5 linked regions of the Sus scrofa genome follow. The protein of the gene in region 1 interacts with the protein of each later gene in a biochemical or structural test. Links are inferred from orthologs where the notes say so. Each region holds a gene or a part of one and is shown in the gene's direction. Other genes may lie near its edges. The genes, in order: BCL2L1, SIVA1, HRK, PMAIP1 and VDAC1.

The links.
Region 2: the proteins of BCL2L1 (region 1) and SIVA1 form a complex in vitro, tested with the Homo sapiens proteins (2 studies listed by BioGRID and IntAct). The link is inferred for Sus scrofa from reciprocal best matches to the Homo sapiens genes BCL2L1 and SIVA1.
Region 3: the proteins of BCL2L1 (region 1) and HRK interact in a biophysical measurement, tested with the Homo sapiens proteins (3 studies listed by BioGRID and IntAct, with this or other methods). The link is inferred for Sus scrofa from reciprocal best matches to the Homo sapiens genes BCL2L1 and HRK.
Region 4: the proteins of BCL2L1 (region 1) and PMAIP1 interact in a biophysical measurement, tested with the Homo sapiens proteins (3 studies listed by BioGRID and IntAct, with this or other methods). The link is inferred for Sus scrofa from reciprocal best matches to the Homo sapiens genes BCL2L1 and PMAIP1.
Region 5: the proteins of BCL2L1 (region 1) and VDAC1 form a complex in vitro, tested with the Homo sapiens proteins (4 studies listed by BioGRID). The link is inferred for Sus scrofa from reciprocal best matches to the Homo sapiens genes BCL2L1 and VDAC1.

Annotation. Positions count from the first base shown.
Region 1 is NC_010459.5:35,412,943-35,417,184, reverse strand, and holds the start of BCL2L1 (bcl-2-like protein 1), read left to right. Parts: upstream 1-1,388; 5' UTR 1,389-1,521; exon of another isoform or gene 1,522-1,635; intron 1,636-1,753; exon of another isoform or gene 1,754-2,734; intron 2,735-2,812; exon of another isoform or gene 2,813-2,940; intron 2,941-3,014; 5' UTR 3,015-3,144; coding exon 3,145-3,708; intron 3,709-4,242. UniProt on the Homo sapiens protein: Potent inhibitor of cell death. Inhibits activation of caspases. Appears to regulate cell death by blocking the voltage-dependent anion channel (VDAC) by binding to it and preventing the release of the caspase activator, CYC1, from the mitochondrial membrane.
Region 2 is NW_018084979.1:3,028,581-3,032,590, forward strand, and holds the start of SIVA1 (apoptosis regulatory protein Siva), read left to right. Parts: upstream 1-1,201; 5' UTR 1,202-1,270; coding exon 1,271-1,388; intron 1,389-3,401; coding exon 3,402-3,596; intron 3,597-4,010. UniProt on the Homo sapiens protein: Induces CD27-mediated apoptosis. Inhibits BCL2L1 isoform Bcl-x(L) anti-apoptotic activity. Inhibits activation of NF-kappa-B and promotes T-cell receptor-mediated apoptosis.
Region 3 is NC_010456.5:35,611,691-35,615,365, forward strand, and holds the start of HRK (activator of apoptosis harakiri), read left to right. Parts: upstream 1-1,229; 5' UTR 1,230-1,384; coding exon 1,385-1,660; 3' UTR 1,661-1,716; intron 1,717-1,902; coding exon of another isoform or gene 1,903-1,947; exon of another isoform or gene 1,948-2,035; intron 2,036-3,675. UniProt on the Homo sapiens protein: Promotes apoptosis.
Region 4 is NC_010443.5:161,185,323-161,189,560, reverse strand, and holds the start of PMAIP1 (phorbol-12-myristate-13-acetate-induced protein 1), read left to right. Parts: upstream 1-1,422; 5' UTR 1,423-1,599; coding exon 1,600-1,663; intron 1,664-4,238. UniProt on the Homo sapiens protein: Promotes activation of caspases and apoptosis. Promotes mitochondrial membrane changes and efflux of apoptogenic proteins from the mitochondria. Contributes to p53/TP53-dependent apoptosis after radiation exposure. Promotes proteasomal degradation of MCL1.
Region 5 is NC_010444.4:136,317,782-136,321,887, reverse strand, and holds the start of VDAC1 (voltage-dependent anion-selective channel protein 1), read left to right. Parts: upstream 1-1,279; coding exon 1,280-1,346; intron 1,347-1,873; coding exon 1,874-1,923; intron 1,924-3,036; coding exon 3,037-3,189; intron 3,190-3,277; coding exon 3,278-3,330; intron 3,331-4,106. UniProt on the Homo sapiens protein: Non-selective voltage-gated ion channel that mediates the transport of anions and cations through the mitochondrion outer membrane and plasma membrane.

The DNA of each region.
Region 1 (4,242 bases):
TTTTATTATTATTTTTTCTTTTTAGGGACTCAGCTGCAGCATATGGAAGTTCCCAGGCTCAAGGTCGAATCAGCACTGCAGCTGCCAGCCTATGTTACAGCCGCAGTAATGCCAGATCTGAGCTACATCTGCGACCTACACTGCAGCTCTGGCAATGCCGGATCCTTCACCCATTGACTGAACCCAAATCCTCATGGACGCTTAACCCGCTGAGCCACAGTGGGAACTCCTCCAATATCCTATTTTTAATCAATTAAATTACCACAAAATTAATTGATTAATTCACTTCCATGGTCAACTTTCCAACCAATGACCTCTCATAACACATTTGCCCTCCTTTGGTCACACTGCTTCTCCTTCAGCTTCTAAAACATCCCAAGATCTTCCTGCCTCAGGACACTTTGCGCAAGCTATATCCTCTGCCTAGGCTGATGTTCTCTAAACTCTTCCGACGGGTGGCATTTCCTTACACTTCAGATCTTCGGTTCTAAGTTATCCCTTTGAAGAGGCCATCCCTGGCACCCTACACAAACAATTGAAAGAACACTTGAAAAAAATGACTCTCTTGGAGTTCCCACTGTGGCTGAGTGGCTTAAGAACCTGACTAGTATCTGTGGGAATGGGAGTTGGATCCCTGGTCTCACTCAGGGGGATAAGGATCCAGCATTGCTGTGGCTGTGGCGTAGGCCAGCAGCTGCAGCTCTGATTCGACCCCTAGCCAGGGAACTTCCATATGCTGCAGGTGCGGCTCTAAAAAAAAAAAAAAAGAAAAAAATGTCCCTCTTCCTCACTGGGCAGGGAGGGCGAGGCTTACATCCCTGACCACCCACTCTAAAGGAGCACCTCTTTCTTCACCCTCTTTACGACAATACCCTGATTTGCTTTGTTCAGAGCACTAGTCACTATCTGAAATTACCTTGTTTGTTTTCTTAGTTGTTTACTCTCTCCATCTCAAGGGTTTAAGCCTCTATGAAAACATGGGCCGTGTCTTGTTCCTAACTCCATTTTCAGCAACCCAAACAATAAACATTTGCTAAATGAAATTATGCAGCATGTACCATAGACTTCACAAAGAACAACTCAAATCAATCACAGTAACTCAATGAGGGAGATTGGTTTTTACTCACATTACGTACGGTTAAGGATAATCGAGACACAGCGGTTGAGTAACTTTCCCAGTTAGCAAGGTTGGAATCCCAGACACAAGATTCTTGCCACGACGCGATGCTTTTTCGACATATAAACTAACCAGTGGATGAAACTGGCTAAATGAATGAATGAATGGAAACGTGAATGTAAACGTTTATCCTTTTTTGTCTCCGGATTCCCCAGCTCTACCGCAAGGGGGCGCTCTCGCCAAGGTCTTGACGCCAGTACTTAAAGGCGCGCACTCCCCTTGCGTCTCGGGCTCGCGCGCGCTGCCGCGGCACCGGAAGTGACTGAGGTTGCAAGTTCCCCCGGTCTCTTCAGGGGAAACTGAGGCCGGCTCGTTCGGAAGAGACAGCGCGAGCCACCAGCCAGGTAGGCCGGCCCAGGTCCGCGGCGCAGAACTCTGCCGCGAAGAGCGGTCGCGTCTGGAAACTACCTGGCCGATGAATGGGGGATGTGGCCCCCCATGGCTCGCGGGGCTCGCAGGTGAGAGCGCCGCCTCCCCTGTGCGTGGCAGGCGCTGCGCCCAATGGGAGCCCTCGCCGTCCTGCTTCCGTGCCACCTGGGCTCGCTGATTGGCCGCGCTGGGGCGGGCCGCCGGGGGCGAGACCCCTCCTCCCAGAAAGGTCTAGGGGGCGCCCCAGAGGGAGAGCGGTTGCCTAGCAACGGGGCGGTGGCCGGGCGGGTACCCGGCCTAGCGCGCGGAGGGAGCCGCGAGTCCGCAGCCCACCCACCCTGGGCTCGGGAGAGGTGCAGACCCCTGCCTCTAAACCCTCGCCAGGGCGCGAGGAAGCCACCCTGGGCCTGTCCACAGGAGAACGTGGTTTCAGCTGTGGGGGGGCCTCGAGGAGGCCTCGCCCATTCTCCCTGACCCGAGGAGAGGCCCGGCGCCTCACCCTCGCCCAGTCTTTGTGCCGGGCGCCGGCGGCCATTGTGTCCGTGCGGGGAATGGAGGACCCGGCAGCCCCCCACCGCCACGACCAGGGCCTTTGGGGAATTCAGAGAAAGCCAGCAGCGTTTCTGGGGGGTCCCCGGCTTTCCGCCTCCCTGAAAGGCCCGGGGATGGCCTTTCCGAAGTCAGACCGCAGATACGAGGCAGTTTCCCCCTCCCTCCGTCCCTCATCGAAACCTTGAGCCCCATTGAGAAGTCCCTTTAGGGTTTCAGTAAACCTCACCCTGGGCTGGTACTTAAATAGAAGAAAAACAAAAACTAAATCTCACACCAGCCACCTCCGGGAGAGTTCTCCTGGCTCCCAGTAGGAGGCGGAGAGCCAAGGGGCGTGCAAGAGCAAGGGGGCTGGGCTCCCGGGCCGCGGCTGCTGAAGCGGCCGCCCTCGATCTGGGCGATGGAGGAGGAAGCAGGCGAGGGGGCCGGTTCCTGAGCTTCGTAATTCCTGTATCGCCTTCTGGGCTCTCAGTCTGCCGGGTCGCATGATCCCTCCAGCCGGAGCTGCTTTTTTTGCCAGCCGCCGCGAGGCCGGCTGAGTTACCGGCATCCCGGCTGCCACCTCCTCTCCCGACCTCTGATACAAAAGATCTTCCGGGGGCTGCACCTGCCTGCCGGTCGCCTGAGACGGATTTGAATGTAGGTGGTGCGGGGGTGGGGGGTGGGGGACAGACTGCCCATGGGGGTGACTTTCCGAGGAAGACATTTCGGAGAAAAGGGGGTGGCTGAGGCTTAAAGGCCGGTGTGATGATTCAGAGCCCACTGGTGCTTTCAATTTGACTTTATTGAAGTCCCTTGGAAGCCAGACCCAGACCTTCCTAAGAGCCACAAAAGACCCCATTCTGGTACCTGGAGGGGGAATGGATGTTGCAGGGTAAATGGCATGCATGTTAATTTTTTTTTTTTTTTTTTTCTGAAGCTCTTTCTCTCCCTTCAGAACCTTATCTTGGCTTTGGATCTCAGAAGAGAACCACTAAGCAGAGACCAGACTCAGTGAGTGAGCAGGTGTTTTGGACAATGGACTGGTGGAGCCCATCCCTATTATAAAAATGTCTCAGAGCAACCGGGAGCTGGTGGTTGACTTTCTCTCCTACAAGCTTTCCCAGAAAGGATACAGCTGGAGTCAGTTTACTGATGTGGAAGAGAACAGAACTGAGGCCCCAGAAGGGACTGAATCAGAAGCGGAAACCCCTAGTGCCATCAATGGCAACCCATCCTGGCACCTGGCGGACAGCCCCGCGGTGAATGGAGCCACTGGCCACAGCAGCAGCTTGGATGCCCGGGAGGTGATCCCCATGGCTGCAGTGAAGCAAGCGCTGAGGGAGGCGGGCGATGAGTTTGAACTGAGGTACCGGAGGGCATTCAGTGACCTGACGTCCCAGCTCCACATCACCCCAGGGACAGCGTATCAGAGCTTTGAGCAGGTAGTGAACGAACTCTTCCGGGATGGGGTGAACTGGGGTCGCATTGTGGCCTTTTTCTCCTTCGGTGGGGCACTGTGCGTGGAGAGCGTAGACAAGGAGATGCAGGTATTGGTGAGTCGGATCGCAACTTGGATGGCCACTTACCTGAATGACCACCTAGAGCCTTGGATCCAGGAGAACGGCGGCTGGGTAAGGACCACGCCCCTTGTGGTGTCCCTGTTCCTTGGTCTCAGGTCAGATCCCCAACAGCCTTTCCTCTGTACCTCTTTCTGTCGCGCTGTGTGATTATTGGAGATGTTGTTTGTTAAGGAGATGTGACTGGCCTCACTGCAGCACAAGACGCTAACTGTCCTGAAATACAGATGACCTAGTTCTGCAAGGACCAGACAGCTTCGTTCTGGTCATCCCCATGACCCTACCCTTTCAGACTTGTGTCCAATTTCTCTGCAGAGGAAAACATAGCCTGTGTGTTCATTGGGCCCCAAACCTTTGCGGGTGGCGGGTTAGTCCGGTGTTTCCCTGACCCTGACGTAATGGCTCCCCTCGCTAAGGGTAACACCTGCAGGAGACGGTATCAGTGACCCACCAGTCCCTTCAGTCTTACTCCCCCTGGGATGTCAATCCTGTCCTGGGCTTCCCTCCCCCAGATGGAGTCCCCTGTGTTTCAGAGTTGGCATGACCAGGCAGGGAGTTCCCACTGGCTTAGATGGCTGAGGATTGTCT
Region 2 (4,010 bases), on another chromosome or scaffold:
GGCTAGAGATTGAACGCACATCTTCATGGATACTAGTCAGGTTCTTAGCCCACTGAGCCAGGAGGGGATCTCCACCAAAGTTCTCTTTTAATCACAATGTTTTGCATTTATTTATTGTATCTTAAAAGAGCTTTAAGGCACTTTCAAATCTAAAGGTGAAATTTTTTAAACATTGTGGTGATCATTATACGACTACAGATGTGATAAATTCATTGAGTAGTAAAAAAAAAATAAAAAATAAATAAATAAAATTCCCAAGACATGTAAGATTAAAAACAACACTCCGGGGTTTCATCTATTTCCCGTATACAACAAGCCAAGCGTCTGTTCGGGTACAACTGACTGTAGAATCCTTACGAGAGCAGTGCACAGGCTGGCCGGCGACGCAGCAAGGAAGACAGGTCTCCAGCCCCCCTCCGTCAGCTGGTCTCCCTGGACCCAGGCAGAGGCAGCGAGGACCACGTGATCAGAGACTGGTCCCGCCCCATTCCCCGCGGGGATGGTTCCAGGCTGTGACGTAGAGTCACGTGGGACTCGGCCTGTAAGGCTCGGCCACGTCACCGGAAATCCAGGCCACAGGGGAGCTGGCCGGTCGAAGGCTGAGTGGGTGGCTGGCCCGCCGAGGCGGAGCTGGGCTCGGGTCGTGGCCAGGCTGGAGCCCGATGACTCGGCTGTATAAAGGCACCTTCGTGCGGCGGAGGGCACCTGCCTGCCCCGCAGGGGGAAGTAGGGCCCGCGAGGCGGCCCCTGAAGTGTGCCCGGGGCGTTAAGGCCTCACTCTGCACTTCTTGAGGGCGGGGAATTCCTCCAAACTGAAGAAAAGTGGCTCATCCTCGAACTTTGAGTGATTTATGCGAGGACGTATAAGAGCTTCCGGAGCTGTTTGGGAGCAACAACAAAGAAAACCCAGCACGCCCGCCCTTACGTGCCGCCTCATACGAGTCCCACCCCCATCTCGCCTCCGACCTATTGCAGGCTGCGCCTAACGCGAGTCCCGCCCCCGGCGCGCCCACTGCGACCCTTGACCTCTGCTGGACTTTCCCGCGCCGCCGAGTCCCGCCTCCCGGCGCACGAGCCCCGCCCCGCCCTCGCTCCGGCCTATCCCGCGTCGCGCCGCGCACGAGCCCCGCCCCGCCCTCGCTCCCTGCCTATCCCGCGTCGCGCCGTGCAGGAGCCCCGCCCCCGCCCCTCGCGGGGGTTGGCGCGCGGCCGTGACGTCGCTGGCGGGCCAGGCGCGGCCGCCGAGCCGAGCCGCTCCGGGCCCGCGGCCATGCCCAAGCGGGGCTGCCCCTTCGCGGACGCGGCCCCGCTACAGCTCAAGGTTCGTGTGGGCCAGAGGGAGCTGAGTCGCGGCGTGTGCGCCGAGCGCCTCACTCGGGAGATTTTCGGTGAGTGCCGGGTTGAGGGGTTTCTCGCTGCGAAGCGGGGCCGGGGCAGGCGGGCCCCGCGGGCCGCGCCCCCTGGAGCCGGGGGTCCGGAGCTAGCTGTCCGACTGGGGTTTGGGAGCAATGAGTAGGGCGTCCTGAGTAAGCCCTTGTACGCTACCTCCTGTCCCCTGCCACCCCCACCTCTCTGAACCGCGTGGTGTCGAGTCGGGGCTGTGTCTTGTGGGGATGCCGGACTCGCGCGGTAACCAGCCCTGGTCCGACCAGCACTGAGATCCCTCAGGCGCACTTGGAGGCCGGGGAGGGGGATGTCCTGGTGGAACAAGTCCGCAGCAGTACCCATTCTAACCCCAGACGTATTTCTGGAGCGCGCCTTCTCTGCCAGGCGCTGCAGCTGCGCAGGAGACCCTGCCTCCCAGTCTAGTGGGGGGACCTGCCAGAGAAGGACGTGCCAGAGGTCATCAGGGCAGCGACGGGGTGCTGCAGGACCACCTGCAGGCTGTCAGTGGTCTCATGGAGAAAGAGAGTCCTGCAGAGATAGGCAGGCAGAGAGGGAGAGGAAGGGAATTGCAGGCAGAGGGAACAGCCTACGCGAAAACCAGGAAGCAGCAGAGTGCAGCAGGGCTCAGGGTAGCTGGACTGTCCAGGTCAGACCTGTGAGGGCAGCGAGCTCGGAGGCCTTCTCGTCTGACTGGGTCATGCCGATTTTTAGGTGCACGGGTGCTGTTGATCACCCCTCTGGGGTGGTTCATCCACCGTGGAGTTTGCTTTATCTGGTGGTTGAGGGCCCGAGGTTTGTGGCCGGAGTGTTTGTAATTGAGCGATGCTGCTGTGCTTTAGGGGTGTGGGGAAGAGCCTAGCCGGGGGAGACCCTGCTTCTCTCTCTCCTGCTCCCCCAGCCCAGCCCACCGCCCCCCTCAGCAGCTGCTCTGCCTTTTTTCCTTGCACACTGGGGTTGCAAATGCAAATCCTTTCCGAGGCCACGCAGGCAATAGAAATGAGTGAAGCTGTGGGTGCTCAACCGTTATTCCCGCCCTGGACAGTCAAAAAACGTAAACACTGCAGGCGGAAGAATTAAAAGTTGATAGGGATTAAGTCAGGCTGGTTTTTGACCTTCCTTGACCACAGTGTCAAGGTTTGCAGGGGCTTGTCCCTCACAGGCCCGTGGGGGGGGGGGGGGTTGCTGGGCTTCCCGGACATTTCCCGAGGGCAGGACCTAAGGTGGCCTGTGTGAACTCAGGGGTAGTGAATGCCAAGCCTGACCGTGGCCTCTTTATCTTGATGGACCACAGGCCTTGGAGGGGGGGGGCTGGTTTCCCCTCAATCCTCCCATCCTGCTCCAAGGGGGAGGGTGCTGGGGCTGTCACCAGCCACTCAAGCTCTGTCACCCAGCAGCTCGTTTCTGTCAGTCACAGAGCGCTGCCAGCTTCTAAGCGCGCCTCCCTGGCTCTGTTGGGATACGGCAGAGAACCACAGACAATGCATTTCTGGGGCTGGCGCCTGGCATTTGACCCTGCGAAAGCCCCCAGCCCTGATGGAAAGCCACTGCTCTAGGTGCTGAGACACCACCTCAGCTCCGAGGGTGGGACTGTCTGTCCAGGACCCACAGAGGTCTCGAGAATTCTGGAGTACTTGTCAGGAGCCCGTTGCTGCCATGTCTTTGGCCCGCAGCTCCAAGGTCGGGGAAGGGGTGTGTACCAGCCGGGGCTGGGTGCTGCACAGGAACGAAGCTGGCTGCTGGGTGCGAAGGCCGAAAGGGACAGCAAGCATGTGAGGCCACCGTGTGGAAAACGAGCAGAGTGACAGGAGAGGAGCCCGGAGGGGCTTGCGGAGTCCAGAGCCTTCCTGGAGGAGGTGGCCGCTGAGCCCAGGCAGGAGGGGAAGGTGGGACCCAGCTCGCCAGGGCACAGCGTTGTCCTGGTGGCTGGATGACAGCTCCGAGGCCTGGCTGGGCGCAGCCCACAGGACAAGGAGGCTGTGCGGGGTGGAAACGGAGGAGTGACTCCTCTTCCCCAGAGAAGACCACCCAGCTCCTCTTCCGAGGGGCCCAGGCCTACATGGACCACGCGTGGGAGGAGGGCTGTGCCACCGTTGACCTGCCGGAATCCCCGAAGCCCGGCCCCACGGAAGCCCCTCGGGCCTCGCGGGGGCAGATGCTCATCGGGCCCGACGGCCGACTGACCAGGAGCCGAGCCCAGGCCTCTGAAGCTGGTGAGTGGGGCCCTGCAGGTGCGCTTGGGACATGGCAAGGGCGTTCCCTTTATTCTCAGTGTGTTTCCTACCTGGGCCGGCGGGCACTGGGTCCCGTCTAGGTGGGGAGAGGCTATTTGGGTCCCTGCGCAGCGTGGTGTGCATCCCAGACTGTCACCTGGGTTGCTGGTTAGAAACTCCCTCACCCCCAGTCTGGGTGGTGCAGGAACCTCTGTGCTCCCCCGAGCCGCAGAAGGGACACTGGCACCAGCCGTCGGGAGCCGTGGGGCGGGGGTCCGGGCACCGGGCGCCCTCCCTGGTGAAACCGGCTGTGTGCTGTGCTCACGCACCGGTTGTCCGGAGCACCTCATGGTAGGTCAGGTGCGGGAGGAGGGTCGCCTCGTTCTCAGGTGGGGAGTTGGGGGCCCCCAGCAC
Region 3 (3,675 bases), on another chromosome or scaffold:
GAGAACTGCAGCTGGATGGGTCTAAGAGCCACCAGGATCACAGGGCAGGGCTGGGATCTGAGCTCTGACCAAGTTGCAGGCCAAGCAGAAATCTCTCCATGATAAAGTCAGACCCATTCTAAATTCACACTCTTGAAGAATCTTTTCCAAGTGGCAGCACTCTGCTGGTGGGAAGAAGAGGCTCAGAGCTGCCTTATCAGGACCTAGGAGGCTGGCTTGGAGCCACCTCTGAGATCCTCCAATTTTCTGAATCCCAGTGCTTTGAAGACAGGTGAAAGTCTCACTTGCTCCCCAAAGAATCCTAAGAGCCCCTCGCCCTTCTATTCCTTCACCAGCAGAGACAACTTCACGTTTTCTAGTCTGGAGGAGCATGGGGACAGTATAAAACCATTCTACGATTGGAGAGAAAGGGGCTGAAGTCCCCTGCACCCCGCATCCTCGACCCCACCAATCCCTTAAGAGTCTCCACTGAGCATTAAATCCGGATCATTAACCCCAACAGGCAAATAAAATTCACAAAGGGAGCAAACAAAACAAAGTTCCTTCTGGAAAACCCCTTGCGAGGGTCTTTGGGATTGAAGCGCGGTGTGCTTGCGAATCGCTGAGGCTAAGGGCCGACTCCCTAACCCTCCTCACCCCTGCGTCCATCAACGTTTCTAGGGGAGCTAGGGGCTCTTTAGAGTCTCTCATCCACCCTAACTTAGATGGGGAGTCGGGTGTGTATCGGCTGATCCGCAACCTACAGGTGCGGAGTCAGACCTGAAAGTAAGCAAATTGGGTTGAATCTGGCCCTCTCATGAGATTTTGAATCGACCTACCGCCCCAAACAAAACAATAGCCTCGGAACATTTTTTGAATAATGCAGCTGAATTCGATATCAGCTTCATCCAAAACGGCAAACAAGCCTACTCCTCTCGCCAAATCGGAATTGAAGCTGAATTCAGAAAAAACGGAGAGAAAATCTTCCCTGGCGCTCCCCGCCTCCGCGGGGGTCTCCCGCGACCCCCAAGCCCGAGAGCCCCGCAGCCGGGTGCTTTCCCGCGTCCCAGAGCCCCGCGCTCCTCGCTTCCCAACCCGAAAACCCCCTCGCGGCCGGCGCCGCTAGGGTTAAAAGTTACCTCTCGGTTTCTTCTGCCTGCAGCCCCCCCACCCCCGGGGGGCCGGATGATGTAACCCCCCTCCCCGCGCCCTCCCCGCCCCCCTCCACCATGTGACACTTTAATTAATAATAGCGCCGTCAGCACAACAAACGCACAACACAAGGAGAAACTTGGTGTCCAGGGTAGGCCCCCGGCGGCTGGAGCGCGGCGGAGGCAGGCGCAGAGGCCGAAGCGAGAGGAGGCGAGGGGCGGCCCGACGCGGGGAGGGACCGAGGCGAGCGGTCATGTGTCCGTGCCCCCTGCACCGCGGCCGCGGCCCCCCAGCCGTGTGCGCTTGCAGCGCGAGCCGCCTGGGTCTGCGCTCCTCCGCCGCGCAGCTCACTGCCGCCCGGCTCAAGGCGCTCGGCGACGAGCTGCACCAGCGCACCATGTGGCGGCGCAGCGCGCGGAGCCGGAGGGCGCCGGCGCCCGGCGCGCTCCCCACCTACTGGCCCTGGCTGTGCGCGGCCGCGCAGGTGGCGGCGCTGGCAGCCTGGCTGCTCGGCAGGCGGAACTTGTAGGAACGCGGGGCTTCATGGTGGGGCCGGAGCCGAGACCCAGCCGGAGCGAGCAACAGGTACGTGAGCAAGCGACCGCCAGGGCGCGGCAGCTGGGGGATTGGAGACCTGGGGCTGGGTTGGGAGCTGGAGAACCGCAAGTTTAGCTCTCTTCCCTTCCCATCTCCTCTTCCTCTGCTCCATTCTTTCGCAAGGATCTCTGTCCCTCTCCTTGGGAGATCCCATCTCTCCTTCCAAGTACCTACCGAGTCCACCGCTGCTGCCCCTTCTCTCCGACTCCTTAAGAGCATCTTGCCACTCCCTCCATCCGAGTGGCTTTGGAAGGACTTCAGCCTCCGTAAGCCTCATCACCCCTTCAAACAAACACACAATGCAAATTAAAAGTGTGCTTGCTATGAGAACAGAGTTACAGGCCACGCCAACGCATTATAAACTATCGCGGTTTCAAGACGAGTCCTCGGTCCTCTTCCAAGCCGCCTGCCGTTCCTAACTCGCCACCCTCTCCATCACCTCCGCCCCAAACCTCCTTCTCCCTAAGTATCACTTCTCCAGTTTCTGTTGCTCGTCCTCCCGCGCCCCAAGCGCATCTCGTGACTTCCTCCCCCTCCGTCTTTCTCCCTAAAACTTTGCAGTTTTCCTCCGCTCTGCCAACTTCACTCCTTCTCCAGCGAGGTGTCCCTTTTAAGGAGCTTGCCCTCCTCTTCGCGGGATAGAGGGAGCTGAGATGAAGGAGATGCCCCCTAAGTGATGTGGGATCTCAGACTTTTCGGGAAACTCCAGGGGGAAGCCTTTAAGAAAGAGCATTAACTGTGCTCACTTTGGGTTCGAGGCCCTGTTAAGAGCCTGCAGTAGGATAGGTTGTGGGGGTGGGGAGTGAGTATTGCGCGCCTAGCCGTTTGGTACCAGTGGGAAAAAAGTACTAAGCACCTACTGTATACTAGGCCCCTAGGCCTTGGGGAATTACTGAGCACCAGCTGTGCGCCTGACACTGTGCTAGGGCGCTTAAAGGGGGCAAACGTGTAAGCATTGTCTTCAGATTCTCAAAGAGCTGAAGAGAATGGGGGTGGAGAGAACAGGGCTGAGCCCACCAAAGGTGGGTCCAGGGCCGGAAGCTGAAGGTCGAAGGTGAGAAACCCAGCCCCGGGATGCCATGGCTCACAGATGCCAAGCGCTCGGGTCTCGGCCGAGTCCCACCGTGAGCCAACACCATAGGAAGCTGGCGCGGCGCCCGCAGGGAGAGGCGGCAGCCGGAGCGTGGGGGGTGGCAGCGCCCGGGAAGCTGCGGGGGTGCGCGGGGTGTGAGCCGGGAGCGCGGGCGACAGATGTCGCGTGGGCCGGCGCAGCCCTGGCGCTGCCTGAGAGAGGTGTGCGCTTCAGGGCGCTCTTTGCCCGGCTCCCAGAGATCCCATGCGCTTCTCCTCCTCCCTGAAGAGAGGCCCGGGGCTGCCCTCCGCCTCAGTGGACCAAGTTAGGTCTGCCCCGGATCCTAGGGACAGAAACATTTTGGATGGGACGGAGCGGGGGAGGGAGGGCCGAAAGAGGTAGTCAAGCAAGACGCGACGCCCAAAGTGTGTAATTTAGGGAAAAGCGGAAAGAAGGTGGGAGAGGAGGGATAGAAAGAACGGGTGGTTAGACGAGGAAAGAAAGTGGCGGGAGCTGGAGAAAGAGGCTTCTTGCAAGACAAGATAGTGGGAACGGGGATTAGAAAAATGGGAAGCGTGAGGAATCCAGTACAAACGGGGAGAAGGGCTAGGACACCATTTCCTCCAGTCTTGGGGCCCAGGCTAGGTGGGGGAAGCGCTCCCTTCTCAGGACCAGACGGTGCGGGAGGCTGGGCGTCCTACCCATGGACTGGAGAGTGCCCAGCCACAGCCCAAGTGTGCGCGTTGGGGCTAGGGGCGCTCCAGGGTCCTCAGGAGGAGGCCGCCGCCGGGGAGATGGGAGGTGGCCCGAGACCTCCGCGGGGGCGCGCGGGAAGGACGGAGCGCGTCCGTCTGCGCTCGGGCGCGGGGAGGACC
Region 4 (4,238 bases), on another chromosome or scaffold:
GAGTGACCCCGCCCAATGTCTCTCTACGGGGAATGGCAGCCTCCAGCCCGCTCTGCTCTTTAGGAAAACGGATCCTGCGTTGTCAGGAACTAATGATTTCCTAAAGGAAGCCAGAAATCTGGACTTTTAATGTAATCTCTCCATTTTTAAATGTTGGAAAACCAATTCGAATTTTCACAAGACATCTGGTAGACCAATACGGAGAACCAAACCAAGCACTTCTAGAAAGTCATGGAGCTCTAAGCAACCAATTTACAGCCTCTGCATTATTCAGGGCAGATAATAAAAGAACACTCTTTTTCTAAAACACTGATTCCTGGTAAGGCGGCAGTGGGTAAGAGGGCTTGCTCGGTATGGGCCTGCCAGGGTTCAGATTCTGCCACTGATCTCTGCCTGTGTGAGCTGAGGCAACTCGATCTCTGCAAATTTCAGCTTTTGAACCACACGATCTAAAGTGGCCACACGATGCTAAGAATGCCAGCTTGGTAGGGTAGTTCTGAGGACAGAATAGGAAATGCCTGCGGAATCCCTTAGCATGAAGGGGTCCTCAATACCTATGACCATTCCAAATGACTCCTCCTTTTTACAAAAACAAAAGTATTCAAGTGCCAGCCAAACATCGTGCAAATAACTTCCTATTCCCAGATTCCTCATTCTTTCCTCCACCAAAGCATTGAAAGTTTTCTACACGATGACCTACTCTTTTTTTGTGTTACTAAACATCTACAATGGTCAGGAGACCCATGGGGAATAAACGCTCTACTTTTTCAACCCAGCCGTGAATTAGTTAGCCCCCTCCCTCATTCACATTCCCTCCCCCTCCCAAATCTAAAGTGTTTGCTCGCGTGCTCCGAGTTTTCAATTTGCAACAATTTCCCAATAGTTTCAGTTTCAATCTGGTACTTTTCTCACTTGGCTTCTGGTACCATCTCTATGGTTATTAAAGTTTTCTTCATTTCACGTCCCAGAAACTTCCTAAGTTCTCGGAGTTTGAAAACTGTCCTCTTCTAAACTCTTTTCGGGGTTTGTTTACAGACGTCGCTAATTGCCCATTTCTGATAAGGACGAAGCTCCAGGATTCCCCATCCCCAACCTTCTGCTAGGAGAACCTTTCTCCGCTCGCGACTCCTACACCCCGACAAGTCTGCAGCTGACTCGTTTGTCAAGGAAGTAATTTCCAGGCTGGGCCTTGCCTCTCCCGCCAAGCTCCCGGCGCCCCCCGCCGCGGATCGGCGCCGCCGCAGGTCGCCAGCGGGTCCCGGCGGGTCGCGCTGCACCGCGCGCTGCGCTGGGCCAGTTACTCGCTCCCCCCGCCCCTTTGCGCGCTGGTCCGAGGGGGCGGGGACAGGGGCGGGCCCGGCGTCAAGTTTCTCTACGTCACTGGGAAGTCCCCATTAGGTCGGAGCGCGGGCAGCGGCGGGAGCGCCAACCTCAGAGGCTTTTGGGCGTTCAGGGTGTTGCTTTTCTAGCTCTCTCCCGCTTGCTCGCTTCTGCCCGACCGCCCCGCGCGCAGCCTGCTACCTGCAGAGCCAAGGTGCTCGGGTCCGGGGACTGAGTTCTCGGAGTTTTGCGGCAAAGTTCCGGCTGCTGTTTGCGGAGATGCCTGGAAGGAGGTCTCGTAGGAACACTCAGACGAACCCTACGCGGGTGGCCCTCCCGCCAGGTAGAGAGCAGCTGGGGCCCGCGGAGATCCTGACCCGGGGCGGAGGCTGGGGTCGAGGTCTCGGTCCGGGCGGAGTCACCCCATGTGCGCCGGGCCTCAAGGTCAGGCCGGCGCTGTGCCCTTGCACATGTTTTAGGGGCGCCGGCAGGAAGTTCTTTAGGGGTTTAACCGCGGACCGTGGATATGACCAGGGAGGGAGTCCGGCTTAGGGTTGGGATGCAGCAGCATTTCAGAGGATGCTGAGATCAGCTTTCCCATCCCCACTTGTTCTGCCCCTGGGCCATGGGAAGAAAAAGAGCAAGTACGGGCGCCAGCCACGCGGAGAAAGTCATTGCCATGGCGGGTGGGGCCGAGAGAGGCTCCAGGAGCTTCCTGGCCTCCCAGCGTTTTCTGAGGGAGGCCCTCTCCCTCCCGTATTCTGGATCTTTTGAGCCTTACCCCCCTACCCCAGGCAGTAATAATGCTTGATACTATCACAGGCCTTCCACAAAAAACTGACGGAGGGGTTGGAGGTCCCACAAGGACTGGTGAAATCAGGATAATAGAAAGTTTTTCTTCTTTGTTAGAAGTGTAACATTTTAACAATCGATATTAGCTGCAGAAATGGGGTAGGAGAACAGGAGTTGGTCCGCAATGTTTTTCAATCCACCCGTTCCTCTGCCCTTCCCCATCCGTGTACCTCATCAAATAATTTAAGGTCGGTTTCCTTATAAATCTTATCAAATGGAGCAGCCATCTGCTCCTAAGGAGCAGTTGCAAAGAAGGCAAATAAGTCTCTGAGCTGGAAATCTGTGTGGGTCATACTGCTGTTACATCAGATGGTAATAGGCCGTTTTATACTTAGTTTAACTTTTTAGAGCCCATGGACCGCTCAAAGGAAGTGGTGCATTGCCCGTGTGGTCATGGCAAAGCTGGCACCAGGCTGCTCTCTTGACTCTTGCTTGGGAGGGAAGAAACTTTGCCCGTCTTTTGTGCTGGCCCAGAAATCTGGCCATGTTTCAAAAAATTTCCCATCATCTTCAAGAGCCGACTTACTCCCTATTAATAAGAGACAGCAGAAAGGTCCCTCTTAAACTTGGTTAGACAGTAATACAGTAAAAACAACAAAAAAACAAACAAAACCAAAATTAAGGTATAAGTGACATGTAACATTGTATTAGTTTTAGATGTACACCATGATTTGATATATGTGTGTACTATGACATGATTACCACAGTAAGTTTAGTTAACATCGATCACCACACAGTTACATTTTTTATTAATACATTTATAGATGTAACAAAAAATTAATACATTTATAGATGTAAAAAACAAAAAGGAAAGAACTAGGTGCTATTATCTGCCCTTTTTAATGAAAGGGATAGTTTTTCCTCTTACAATTCAGGGCTTCCAAAATTGTATGCTAAGTGATAATTTGTTTCTGTTTTTGTTTTTTAGGATAGCATGTTAATATATTCCACTCACTGAAAAAAACATGTCTTTGTAGATACTTCTCCAAATGCTTGACGCCGTAGCCTATAAAGAAAGATAGCTTACAAGAGATTTATTAGGTCTCAGAGATTATATAAAGTTTTTTTTTTTAGGAATTATGAAAATTTAACTCAGCTCTTAGGAAAAGATAAATTGGTTGAAATGTAGGTTTAAAAATCCACTTTAATATATATTTACAGTTTTTGTTTATCTGAGCCTAAATAGGCTATCTGCAGGGTCTGCTTATAAAATAAATCAGATTTTAACTTACAGTCATAATTTTTAGTGTTTATAATCATGATGTTGAATTGAACCAAAAAGAAGCGGAATTGTTCTTGGAAATATCCAAGAAAATTGAAATTATGACCAGTATAGATTTGGTGTTAATTCCATCTACTTAAAAAGTTCACTTGGAAATTAGATTATAAAGATTCCCCCCCATACAATATCTTAAAAAGTAGTAAGTATATGAATTAAATATTACTTATTTTGTGCTTCACTTATCTCCATAAAGGCAATGGATTGGTACAGTTTGGGGAGACTTTGGCTTAGACTCATGTGTAAACTTATAATTATTTTAGAAAATGTGGACTTCATTTTGGAATAAGATTTTATGAATCCTTCAAGAGAAAATTTCATGAGGCTAAGAATACATTTAGATTTGCCTAGTATGAGGGCATAATTTGAGCTATGAATTATTGGTTGCCATTTACAAAATAAATTATACTCAAAAACAACATAGAAGAATTTAGAATTTGACTTGTCTCTAACCAATTTTAAATGAGAAAGAAAAGGATGACATCAGTTGGGTTGGCAAAGGCTTGCTGTTTGTGGTGTGTGACATAAATGTCTATATTTGAAAGTAAGATAACATTTGCCTCATCCAGGATTGCAAAATAAATGTCTTTATTCTTTAACTTTTGGTTGTTTATGAATCACCGTGTATTGGTGTATGTCACGTGTGTGTGTTTGAGAGGGGCAGCAAGTAGCCTTTCTCACATTTTAGAAAACAAGTGTGCTTAAAAGGTAAACGCTGGGATAAACACTCAACTTGTCTCTGGGATGAACGTTTTAACTCTTGCTGGTTGCCGTTTGCAATGTTGTC
Region 5 (4,106 bases), on another chromosome or scaffold:
CAATAATCCCAAGTAGTACTTTGATAATTGGTTTTAAAAATGAAGTCATCATGGAATTCAATAAATTTTTGTTTGAATCAAATTTGAGGGGGATGTGGTTGCATTTCCTTCCCTATGAAGAGTTGCCTACTTAGGTTTTATTGTTGGTTTTTTTCTTTTTTTGCTTTTTAAGGCCACACCCACGGCATATGGAAGTGCCCAGGCTAGGGGTCCAATTGGAGCTGCAGCTGCTGGCCTACGTCACAGCCACAGCAATGTGGGATCCGAGCAGTATCTGCGACCCACACCACGGCTCACGGCAACGCCAGATCCTTAACCCACTGAGCAAGGCCAGGGATCGAACCCATGTCCTCATGGATCCTGGTCAGGTTTGTTACTGCTAAGCTGGGACAGGAACTCCAGTTTTTTTTTTTGTTTGTTTGTTTTCTCAGTGCAGAATATGATATCCCTGTTGATTCCTGTAAAATGCAAGTTTTGGGGTAATTTGGGTCCATTCTGACTCGCAGTAGGGACTCCATAAATATTTGTTGAATGAATGAAATTCGAATCTTAGGGAAAATCAGTTGTTCTGAAAAGCTCTGATTTCTATTTGTTGTATTAATGTCCTGGCAGTCGATATTTTGTAAGAAGATACGTTATATTGGCAAGAGTCCTGCCGTCGAGTGAAGTAGCTGCCTTCTGGGAATGCATCTTTGACAGTGAATTCATTTAGCTGATGTTGCCTGACTCCTCCCGTCTTCTGGGCCTGTGCTCAGTCCCAGGGATGCCTAGGAGAAGAGGTCCAAAGTCAGGCTGGGCGTTCCCGCTGTGGCTCAGCGGTTCACGAAACTGACTACCATCCAGGAGGATGCAGGTTCGATCCCTGGCCTCACTCAGTGGGTTAAGGATCCGGCGTTGCCGTGAGCTGTGGTGTAGGTCACAGATGTGGCTCAGATCTGGCATTGCTGTGGCTCTGGTGTAGGCTGGGGGCTACAGCTCCGATTAGACCCCTAGCCTGGGAACCTCCATATGCTGCCGGTGTGCCCCTAAAAAGCAAACAAACAAACAAAAAAACTAGAAAAAAAAAAACCAAAAACCCAAACCCCAAAAGTCAGGCTGGTTTGCTCTCAATAAAACTTATTGGGCATTTTAAGCTCTGGTCACAAAAAGAAGCAGCAGCCAGCACAGGCCTCTCCGCCTGCCACTGGGGGAACTCAGTGCTGATGATTTTTATTGGTGGAAACTCATAGCCGAAATTACCAATGTGTTTATTTTGGTGGTTTTTTTCTGGCAGCAGAAGATGGCTGTGCCTCCTACGTATGCCGATCTTGGCAAGTCTGCCAGGGATGTCTTCACCAAGGGCTATGGTGAGTGTCGCACGGAGTGGCCTTCCAGCTCGGAGGCGGGGGTGGCATGTTTGGGATTTTGCCCATCAGAGTTTGAGAGACTGGGGTCAGCTCGCTCTCAGACCTTTCATGTCAGGGAAAAAAAGATAAGCCTTCTACGGCTGGCCGAGCAGTTGTGGTTGTGCACCCAGTGCAGGTGGGCTTGCACATTGCTGCCAACAAGCGGGCGTTCTTGTTTCCTCTCGCAGGCAGGGAGCAGGTCTGTGGCTGCCGCTGCAGTGGATTGCAGCTTCTAAATTTAGCTTGTCCTTAGACATGTGCCCACGCGGTCATGCACCTTCTTCTCAGACTCCGCTGGGCGTGCAGGTGGGGCCTGGGCCTGTTCTGTCGGCCACGGTTCCATGGCAACCAGCCCCCCCCCAACACACGCAGCAGTGGTGACTGGTGCCCTCACACTCAGAGCGTGTTAAAGCAGACCGAGGGAGGCGGGGATGCTGTTTTCGAGTGAGTTATTTAACCTGCTAATAGCTACCATCTCCTCTCTTTAGGATTTGGCCTAATAAAACTTGATTTGAAAACAAAATCTGAGAATGGACTGGTAAGTTGTCTGGCCCACGCGGAGCATGGGTATTTATGCAGATCAGTATATAAAAAATAACTTCCTTCGGGGTGACCAACAAAGGGACTCTTCTGATTGTGGCAGCTTGTAGCTGTCCTTTGCATTGCATCCTTTGTAGGATTTGTGGTCCAGGGGAACCATGTGACCAGGTCCCCACTTCTTCAGCTGGATTCTAGTAGGAATATGGGGCAGGCTTCAGTTTTATTTTTCCTTATGCGTCTTATTTCAGAATCAGCCTCTGTTCCATACCATGTGATTACTTAAAATCTTTTTTTGCTTTTTTTTAGGGCCACACCCACGGCATATGGAAGTTCCCAGGCTAGGGGTCCAATTGGAGTTGTAGCTGCTGGCCTACACCACAGCCACAGCAACGCCAGATCCGAGCGGCATCTGCAACCTGCACCACAGCTCACGGCAACGCCGGATCCTTAACCCACTGAGCCAGGCCAGGGATCAAACCTGCAACCTTATGGTTCCTAGTCGGATTCATTACTGCTGAGCCGCAAAGGGAATGCCTAAAACAAAAACCTTAGTCTCTTTTAGATTGTACATGTGGTAATTGTTCGAAGAAGGATACTTCGGGTTGAATTCCTGCCACGTCAGCTTTAGCTCAAAAGCTTTTTCTCTCTAGGCTGGAGGCGGGATGGAAGGATTGCCTTCCTGTCCAGACTGAAGCGTTAACAGGGGAGGAAGGAAGCCGTGTCCTGATAAAGAATTCTCTGTAGTGGAGTTCCCTTGTGGCGCAGTAGGTTAAGGATGTGGCATTGTCACTGCAGCAGCTCCGGGCCACTGCTGTGGCACCGGTTCAGTCCCTGGCCTGGGAACTTTCGCATGCCTCGGGCACGGCCAGTAAAAGAATTCCCTGTAAGATTCCTTTCATTAGCCGGCTCCATCTGTACTTGAAATATCTCATTGAATTATCGAGTGAGGCTTTTCCTGCACGCATGCAAGGTGTCACCTCTTGCTTAAAGGAGAACAGAGGCCACGTAGGGGTGGCGTGGACTTGCTGCGGGGCTCCCAACATTTAGGGGGGGCGTGATGCAGAATGAAGCGTTGGCATGCAGGCCGTGACCCTCTTTCTTTTTTTTAAAGGAATTTACAAGCTCAGGTTCAGCCAACACGGAGACCACCAAAGTGACGGGCAGTCTGGAAACCAAGTACAGATGGACCGAATATGGTCTGACGTTTACAGAGAAGTGGAACACCGACAACACCCTGGGCACGGAGATTACCGTGGAAGATCAGGTAACTCGCCAAAGACGCGGTGTGACTGAGGGGCGGCTGCCGGCCCGTCTCGTGACTAACCCTGCTGGCGAATTTCTTCTCTGTTCAGCTTGCCCGTGGACTGAAGCTGACCTTTGATTCATCCTTCTCACCGAACACTGGGTAAGAATCTCATCCACCGTCTCCCTAAGGACAGCTAGCCGTGTCTTTTTTTATTTAATTTAATTTCTTTATTTTTCTTTGCCATTTCTAGGGCCACACCCGTGGCATATAGAGGTTCCCAGGCTAGGGGTCGAATCGGAGCTGTAGCCACTGGCCTGCGCCAGGGCCACAGCCACGTGGGATCCGAGCCGTGTCTGCGACCTAGACCACAGCTCATGGCATCGCCGGATCCTTAAGCCACTGAGTTCACCTCATGGTTCCTAGTCGGATTTGTTAACCACTGCGCCACGATGGGAATTCCTAGCTGTGTTTTATAGTGAGATTCTGTGCTGTGATTGTTCTGCTGGCCTCAGCTTGGAGGCTGCAGGATTTCTGGTCCAGGAATGCTGCATTCCCTGGGACTGAGGCTGCTGGTAATGTGAGTAGCCAAGGCCAGGGGGTGGCGCTGGGAAGCAGGGGCTAATGGGTCCCTGTGGCCAGCCCCCTTTCTTAGGCTTGATGGCCCTTTCCCCACCTTCTTACTTAGGGACACTGAGAGCATGTGGTCTTAACTACAAGGTGGCTCCAGAGGCTGCCTTTTTTTGCTCCAGGCCCTGGGGCCACACACAGATCAGACTTGTTGGTTATCAGGAGGAAAGGCGGGGAGTTCCCGTTGTGGCTCAGTGGCTAACGAATCTGACTAACATCCATGAGGATGCAGGTTCGATCCTTGGCCTTGCTCAGTGGGTGAAGAATCCAGTGTTGCCATGAGCAACAGTGTAGGTTGCAGACATGGC